Linked DNA regions of Coturnix japonica. The protein of the gene in region 2 purifies or fractionates together with the protein of the main gene of each other region. This does not show direct contact. Links are inferred from orthologs where the notes say so. Each region holds a gene or a part of one and is shown on either strand. Other genes may lie near its edges.

The links.
Region 1: the proteins of CCNK (region 2) and CDK12 purify together in Homo sapiens (affinity purification with mass spectrometry; 6 studies listed by BioGRID and IntAct, with this or other methods). This does not show direct contact. The link is inferred for Coturnix japonica from reciprocal best matches to the Homo sapiens genes CCNK and CDK12.

Annotation. Positions count from the first base shown.
Region 1 is NC_029542.1:3,844,395-3,848,913, reverse strand, and holds the start of CDK12 (cyclin-dependent kinase 12), read right to left. Parts: upstream 2,939-4,519; 5' UTR 2,441-2,938; coding exon 1,395-2,440; intron 1-1,394. Other genes in the region: MED1 (mediator of RNA polymerase II transcription subunit 1), read left to right, coding at 3,374-3,401, 4,259-4,365. UniProt on the Homo sapiens protein: Cyclin-dependent kinase that phosphorylates the C-terminal domain (CTD) of the large subunit of RNA polymerase II (POLR2A), thereby acting as a key regulator of transcription elongation.
Region 2 is NC_029520.1:43,658,459-43,663,018, reverse strand, and holds the start of CCNK (cyclin-K), read right to left. Parts: upstream 3,075-4,560; 5' UTR 2,940-3,074; intron 1,861-2,939; exon of another isoform or gene 1,842-1,860; intron 1,653-1,841; 5' UTR 1,591-1,652; coding exon 1,394-1,590; intron 465-1,393; coding exon 383-464; intron 1-382. UniProt on the Homo sapiens protein: Regulatory subunit of cyclin-dependent kinases that mediates activation of target kinases.

The DNA.
Region 1 (4,519 bases), on a different chromosome or scaffold from region 2:
GCCAGGTGGGTTTCCTCCTGCATGGGACTAAAGGTGGACATTAAACAGATGCCATAACACACAACCATACCATGAAGTATAACTGTTGGTTTTACTCTTCCAAAAGCATTAGCAAAGAGTCTCCAAGAGCTGTGCAACCATACAGCAGAAAGGATAGAGGGGAGGGTAAAGAGATGTCAAGGACTATCCCTCATTACCTCAGAGATTTAAGAGAGGGCCAGGATAACTTCTGCTTCCAAATATCACAGGAGAAGAGGTAGATTTTACTTAACAGCTTCCAGGAAGCTGAAAACAGTGCATCTCTCACAGTGAGGACAGAGGCTGTAACTCAACTGCCCCATGGACAACAAAATACCTCAAGGGAAAAGCTTTAAGAGTAAAGGCTCAACTCAAGAAACCCCCAAGGAATAGAGACCTGCTGCTCACAAGCACATCCTGGAGCAGCCTCCTTCCACACAGCTCATATTTGGAGCAGAGGATGCAGCACAGTGCAGAGCAGTTCTATAGTTATTACATTCCAGGTCGCATCTTAATTGCCATGGAGCTACAACCAAAGCTCCGCAGCACCCATGGTGACAACAGGAAACTCACTTAACAGAATCCAAAGCTAGAAAGAAAAAACATTAGACCACATATTTGTGTATGTAACAGGAAGATTAATGAGCATCTGAAATAAAACAGAGTCAACACAGCCTTCAAATAATAGTTTCCTTCTGTAACAAGATTACTATCTAAAGAAAGACAAAATGTAGATGATTTCTACCTGTTTTTTCCAGAATGCCCCAATTTCAGAAGGGAAAGTAGTAACTCTAGTACTGAGAAAGGAAAAGTTTAAGCTGAAAAGATGGAGTTTACATGCGCTCATCTAATTCAGGGAGAGAGGAAAGAAAAAAAGTCAGTTCAGAAAGAGCAAAACACACAGAATACAAACAAACCTCCTAAAGAGTGAGATCAGATTTCCACACGCAGCAAACAGATAAGGGGTTCCAGCAGAGGTGAACACATTCCTCCCATTGAGCTGCACAGCACTGAGGAGCATCCGGGCCCTGTGCTGCACAGAGCTCCCCCCCTGCCAGGGGGCCACCTCCAGAGGTGAGTGTAACTCAATCCCCGGGGCTCGCTCTGTCCCTGGCCACTGCTGGGAGCCAACATGGATGCTGCTCAGTGCCAGCCAGGAGGTGTTTCCTCAAGGCTGAGCACCACTGCAGGAAACAGCAACGAACCTGACCCAGAGTGATTACACACCGTGCTGCCAAATCATGGCACTGCTCCAGAGCAGGCCCAATCCAGATGCAGAATAGGGTTAACACCCAGCCACCCCAATGCATCCTTTCCCCCCCCCCAGTCCCTCCCCCAGTCCCCAAGAGGAAGAAGTCACAGTGGAGAGCACACACCTGGCTATGGGGCTTCGGCTCACGGAACGCTTGGCAGCAAAAGGGCTGCTGGAGCGCCTTCGGCTGTAGGGACTCGGTGAGCGCCCGCTGTACGATCCACTCCCCCTCTCATAGCTCGACGAGCGCCTCCTATTATAGGGGCTTATGGACCTCTGCCTCCGGCTGTAGGGACTGGGAGACCGTGTGTTGGACTGGTAGGCCACGGGTTCCTTGTAGGGTGGGCTGATGGACTGCCGGCGTGACGAGCCGCCGGGGCTCTTCCTATAGGGATCGTAGGTACTGGACGTATGAGAGCGGGGCGGGCTGAGGTCATACTCCTGGACGTAGGAAGCTCCAGAAGGGCTGTCATCCAATTTTGGGCTGTCCAACCATTTTCTATGGGGACTTCTAGATTTCCGTTTCGGACTGTCAATGGTTTTATAACTTTTGGGAGCATCCCTTTTCCGATGGCTTTTACTTCGCTCTTTGTGGCTGGACTTGAGCTCCCGATCCTTCCTGGACTTTTCCTTGTGCGCTTTGGCTGAGCGGGATTCCTTGTTGCTGCTCTTTGAGGACGGGGCCTTCGGGTGCTCCTCGCTTTCAAGCAGTCTCTTAGAGGACCCCGATACCCTGTCCTTGGTAGACCCGGACCTGCTGGAGGCCTCCAGGCTCTTTTCCAACTTCCTCTCTTTCTCTGCCTGTTTGCTCTTCATCAGCTCACGGATACGTTTGTGCTGGTGGTGTCGATGTTTCTGCGTCCTTTCGCTCCTATCCGCTTTCCTCTCCTCATTCTCCCTCCTGTCCAACTTAAGGGCCAAATCATCCGAGAACGTATCCGAATCCGAACTGATATCATCGTATTCCACCAACGGTTTGATCACAGCTCCCAGAGGCGCCGCCGTCTCTTGGGCGGCCAACGGTGACTCCTTGGAGTGCCGGGATTTATGCCTCTTATGCCTTGAAGCCACCCGGTGCCTCTCCTTGCTATTGGAGCTGCCCGATGAGTGCAGCGAGGTCCCCCCGCCGCCCCCATCCTTCTTCCCCCCATGTCTCTCTTGGTTTGGCATTCCTCCTCCTCCACTGTGCTGGGACAGGGGGAGGCGGGGGCGCTCCTCCAAATCCTCCTCGACTTTCCAACTCCCTCAGCCTCCCTCTATTCGAACCATTCACCGCCCCCCGGCACCTCCTGCTGCATGGGGAGCGGGACGGAGAGAGCGAGGAGGAAGGGAACAACGGGGAGAGGGAGAATGGGAAAGGAACGGAACCGGGAGCGGCGGGGAAGGACACCGGGCCTCAGCGCCTCATCCGAGGGGCCCAGGCCCGGAGGGCAGCGCCGCCGCGGGGGGAGCCCCGGGAAGGCGGGAGCTGGGCCCACGATCCCTCCCGGTCCCGTTGTGTCCGGTTCCCTCCCGCCCTGTCCCAACCCTCAGTACCGGGTTCCCACCGTGCGGCCCCGTTCGGTCCCCGCCGCCCCGGCCCGGCCCAGCGCCCCCCGCTCACTTCCCAAAGCGAAACGGCTCCTCGGCCCAAGGGGGGCACCCGCCAAGTCTCGCGAGATAACTGCTGCTTCTCGCGAGACTCGGCCTGAGCCCTCCCCCCGCGAGATTTCAAGCGCTGAGAATTGGGAAGGCGGAAGGGAGTGCGCGCGCGCGCACCGTCTTCTCGCGAGGTCTGAGAACGAACTTTACTCCGTCCCGGGGAGCGCACGAAGCCCCGCCCCTTCCGCCCGCTCAGCACCAATCAGCATCCAGGGGGCGGGGCTTGAGCGCAACGCCCCGCCCCCTAATCACTCCCCCTTCTCACCATGACTCCCTACCTCTCGCGAGACTCAGAAGTTCTCGCGAGAAGCGGGAGCCGCGGCCGGAGGGATGGCGGCGGGCGCCGCCGTGTGAGGCCGGAGCGGAGCGGCCCGGCCGCGGTTTATCCCCATCCCTTCCCGTTTATCGACGTGATACCGGCCCTGTGGCTCCGCCGCGGGCCGCCCCTCCCCTCCCTGAGGCATGAAGGCGGTGCCGGGAGGCGCTGAGGGTGAGTGCGGCCTAGCGGGGCTGCGCTGTGTGGAGGCGGAGGGAAGGCCCGGCCTCCTCGGGATGGGGGGGGTTCCACAGCTCGAGGGACGGCGGTTGGGCCTGCAGGGAACGGCGGAGCCCGGCCGTGGGGTCCCAGTGGGTCTCTATGGGGTCTCTATGGGTCCCTATGGGTCCCTATGGGTCCCTATGGGGTCTCTATGGGTCCCTATGGGTCTCTATGGGTCCCTATGGGTCTCTATGGGATCTCTATGGGTCCCTATGGGTCTCTATGGGGTCTCTATGTGTCCCTATGGGTCCATACTCACCATGTGTGGGTCGTCGGGTCCCCTCCCCACTTTGGGTCTCTATGGATCCCTATGGGTCCCAGTGGGTTTCTATGGGTCTGAATGGGCTTCAATGGGGTCCCCATGGGTCTCAATGGGTCTCAAAGCTGGGCATTAAGCAGCTCCAGAGCGGGGCTGTGGTGGATGGAAATAAAGGCTGATGGGCTCCTGTGGTAGCGAACCGTTCGGTTGTTTGTTCTGCTTTGATTTGATGGGGTTGGCATTAAGTCCATGACATCTGTGTGTATCAGTTTATAAACCCTTCTGATTCTATAGGCCTTGTAGGGTCATGTTCTATGGCAGTTATGTTGCCATAGACTTGTGTTGGAGCCAGAAATACCTGGTATCAGGGAGATGCCTTCCATAACAATGTAACTTAATAAAGTGCTACAATGAGTTTTAGAGCCCCACAATGTATAGATTGGATTCAGCACACATTTATAAAGGCTGAGTGTGTCCCGGCTTGGAAGGGCTGTGCAATCAGCTCACGTTCTCTTTTGTTTCTATGTTTTCATTCCGCTTTGTCTGACAGAGGCAGAGAAGCTGAATAAGATGAGTGCTCTCTTAGAAAGACTTCATGCAAAGTACAACCAAAACAGACCTTGGACTGAAACCATGAAGCTGGTCCGTCAAGTCATGGTGAGAAGTGCTGGGGTTTCCTTTACAGTGATGCTCAACACTCAGTGTTATCTCAGTCAGATGCAGCTTTGAAATACCTTGGTGAGGGTAGAAAGGAGTGGGAGGCAGGGAAGAGCATCATCAAAAGCTGCTGTATGTGTTGTGGTGTTAAAGT
Region 2 (4,560 bases):
TTTCCCAGAAAAGATTTAATAAGCACATTAACTTTTAATATTACTGTGCTGCTAATTCAAGCTTTTCATTCTTAAAGAAAAACACAGAATTTGGAGGACTGACCATTTGATAGAACATTATTTCTTGGTTAGAGACCCTAAGTAGAACTTGCCTTCTTTCAGAAAAGCATCAGCAAGATGTTACCAACACAAACACATTTCCAACCATAAAAAAATGTGTGAATAAACAGGAGCTGTGTTGATAAGAGATAAAAAGTTAATATTTAATCATTTTATTCAGCAAGAGCTGTGCAAGGAGTAATGCCCTCGACTTGTAGTCATTTCAGAAAGCCTATCCTTCATGTAATCACAGTATTAGGTAATCAATATTGTAAATACTTACATATCTTGGGAACTGTTTGAAGGAATGAAACATATAAAACCGATGGAAATAAATTATTCCTGTTGCTAAAGTATCATAGTGTCTGTGGTGCAGGATAAGGAACTTCAAGAAAGTCACAGAACAAATGTAAAATCAAACACACCCAATGAAAAAGATACACTCTGATATATCAAATATCTCAAGGAACTGTCCACTCAGCGACTGGCTGAAAAACACTGCAATTAAAAGAGAAACAGAAGCCACACCCCCTTAGGATTGTGCAAATTCTATCCAGATGCAGCCGACACCTAAAGCATTTACTGGGAGTAAGAAAAGCCCATATCACATCTATGCGTGGTCATCTGCGTGATAAGCACCATCATCAAGAAGGTCAAAAGCAGAATTAGGCACAAACAGGAGTAAAAGTGTCGCTTTGTATCACACCTCATGAAACTGTTACTGCAGGAAATAGTTACTAAATATTCATACCTACAAACACAGCTGCAACATGAACGGGCTCCCTACTATTCTTTGCCAGAATAAATGCAAAATTATATCTTCAAGATCTATTAAACAAAGAACTCACGGGATTAAAAGAAGTAACAGGGATATAGCAAGCAAAAAGTTTGAGTGGTATCCATGAGTTGAGACAATGGGGAGAAATTACCAACATACATAAAGTTGTAGATTCCACCCTATAAGAAAAACAAAGTGGGGGGTGGTGGATCACAGGTTGGAATCTCCAAAGTTAAACAATATAGAAAAATAAACATAAAATTCAAAGTTTGAGAAATCATATAAGAGGCCATATCTGGTAACCGCCAGAATATCCATAATTGACAAAACTAAACTCTCTTGCTTCTCAGAAAACACCTTGATTACCCAACAAATGGCTAAAACTATCAAGTAACACTCAGAAAGATTTTTGATTCATGATAAAGAAACATTAGAACAACTAGCTACACATATTCTGCAATATTTAACTCTTAAAACCCCCGTTCATCAACACTTTATCAGGAGTTTAAAGGATACAGCCCTAAACGTGTTCCCACATCAAATATGAACCTGGCTCCCTCCCTGCGGTACCGTGCCTCGGTGGCTGGATCAAGCCCTTCAAGCTGTGAAGGTGTATGTGCCAAATCTTTCTTATCCCAGTACCAGCATGGCTTTGTATGGTCCAGATTTGCCAAGTTTACAGAAGGGCTGGAGTTTTCTTTATTCTCCTTCATTTATTAGAACTGATCTTGCTTGATATGGCTTCAAAAAAGTTTCCAGTTAGGAGCTTTGGAACCTTTAAGAAAAGCAAAAAGAACTTATGTTAAAATGAAGGGGAATCTTTTTTCCATGCTCACAGACAAGTAATATTTAACCACGTTTTCATCTTCCTGACATAATGCAAATACAATTCAAAGACTAGATTTATATATGATTACTTTTGCAATTCTTTGATAGAGAAACTTCAACGTTTTATCAAAAGCACCTGCTACTTTTCTGTAGAACAACTTTAATCCATTTTGTCCATAAAATAAGACTGAACAATTTAGTGATAGCAGCAGCAAGATTTGAACAGCTGAAAGAGGGAGATGAAATCAAATCACTCTTCATAAACCAGGACACATATGTTAGGTCAGCCTGAAAGGAATTTAAACACAGAATCACAGAATGACCCGGGTTGGAAGGGACCTCAAGGATCATGTAGTTCCAACCCCCCTGCCTGGCAGGGCCACCAAACATACACCTTTACTAGATCAGGTTGCCCAGGGCCCCGTCCAACCTGGTCTTGAACACCTCCAAGGACGGGGCATCCACAACCTCCCTGGGCAGCCTGTTCCAGGGTCTAACCACTCTCCTAGAGAAGAACTTCCCCCTAACATCCAACCTAAATCTTCCCTCTTTTAATTTAAAACCATTTCCCCGTGTCCTGCTATTGTCAGCACTTTACTGGGTCTCTTGGAAACACTACCAGAATGGCAACACTTGGATAAAACCTTTGTTAAATCATCTGCACTTGAGTTACTTAAGAAAAAAACAGTAGAGTAGAGATGCATGTTAAAAAGATCATGAAGATCAAGGCAACTGAGATAGGTCTGTCTGGTCAGGTGCCACCTACAATCACTGCACTCAAGGGCCTCCCCATCTCGCCGTGCTGACACAGCCCTGTGCCCGCTGTCACACACAGGCCAACAGCCGCTTACAGCTCTGTCCGGCTCCCCCCCTCATTTACGGCTCTGCAGCCGTTTCGGTTCCTCCCCACGGCGACTTTTAAGGAGCTTTTTAAAGAGCCGGGCCCGCTTCTGTCACAGCCACTTCCGCGTGCGGAGCCCCGCAGCCCCGACACCGCCTCTCCCCGCCCCCCCCCCGGCACACAGCGCCCCGGGGCCGCCCCCTCCGGACCCCGCCAGCCCCGAGGAGCCCTGGGGTCCCCGATCACGGCTCCCTCGCACTCCCCTCAGGGAGCGGCCTTCGCACCCGGCTCCGTGCCACCTCCCCCGCTCACACAGACACCCGGTGCCCCCGCTCCCCGCCTCAGGAGCGGGCCCCCACCCGTAGAAGGCCGCCCAGCTCCCCGCGCACTCACAGGCCTCGCGTGGGACAGCGGAGCGTTGTGGAGCGCCGGGCCTCTAACGACAGCGCGGCCCCCGCGCTCTGCGCGCCGCCATCTTGGGAAGCAGGTCGGTCCGCTCGCTGCGGCGTCACGTCAACGTCACCGGGACTCAGCGCGCCAGCCCCGAGCGGCGGCCAATGAGAAGCGGCGGAACCTTCCCGCAACCAATCCCGTCTGTTTCAGTGGCTGCTAAGCGCGAGGAGCAGTCTCCCCTCGCCTTAGAATGGACCAATCAAAGGGCTTAGAGGACAAGATTGCAAACCTCGCAAGCCAATGAGATGCCGAAGGAGTGAGCTCTCTCCCAGCCAATGCGGGAGCCGCCATGCCCTTTTTTAGTGCCTACAGGCGAGGCAGCGGATTGGCTGCCGAGCGTCCCGCTGGGGGCGGGGCTTGCCTTGTGGCCGTGCTTTGACCAATAGCAGCACGGGGGCGGGGCCGTGCGCTGGCCGTGCGGGGTTGGGCCTCACTCGCCCTCCGCCTCCCACCCGCGGGCAGCGGCGTCCGGCGGAGGGACGGGCTGGGTCCGGCGCCGCTCCCAGCAGCCGAGGCCGCGGCCGCTCCGTGCGGGAGGTAAGTGCAGGCGGTGCCGGGACCCCTCGGGCTTCGGCCTCCCGCACGGCGGGCTCGTTCCCGGAGCCCTTCCCTCCGCGGCCCTCCCCGCCGCCTCCCTTCCTGCGCTCCTCCGGCCCAGGCCTCGCCGCCCCCTCGCTTTCCTCCCTCCGCCGCGTTTCTCCCTCCGTTGTGATGAGGCTGTGCTGAGCCCGGTGCAACCTCTCTTTCCAGCCTGGCCCTCGGAGGCCGGAGCGGGACGCCCGGCTTGGAGCTGCTTTCCCCGTGATGTCATCCCTTCCCTTTCCATCACGCTGCCCGCTCCTTCCTTTCGCTCCCTCTGACCCTCCCGTTCACCAGCACTAAATCCGGGGCGGGGGGCCGTAGCGTTGGGTCAAACGTCAAATAACTTCTGAGTCCCCTTTAAGCTGTTTGCCTGCAAGCAAGTCGCTCTTTGGGCAGCTCGGTGCTGCTGAAACCCAACTTTGCACAGCTGTTCCTCATCCTCTTCCCGCCCATGCACTCATCGGGTTGCTTAAGTGAAGCTTGTGGTCTGCAGTTGTCTTTAGTTCTGAACAGCTTCCTCAATTTGCAATTGATTTGCTGCCCAAACACAGCACAGAGTTGTCAGAACAATCCCAGCTTTCGTTTTGGAAGCTGTTCTATGCAGCATAGAGTTTGGGCTGAGAAGCCTGGTACCTGCTCTTCTATGAACTTGATTTTGCTCATGAGTTGAAGCTGTGTGCAACTTCTGTCTCCCTTCTGAGAATGTGTAATATATATATATATGTAATATATAACCTGTCTCTTCAAATGATGCCTCATAAAATCACAAGGTTGAAAAGGACCTACAAGATCATCTAGTCCAACCGTCCTCCCTTTACCATACCTACAGAAAACCTCTAAACCATATCTTCTAGCTCTCTATCCAGATGCTTCTTGGATGCCTCTGTTCTATGGGTGTTAACAACGTTACTTTGACATCTCAACTCTTCTCCTTTCAGTTGTAAGCTTGTTTAAAAACCAAATAAAAAGTGTACTGAAA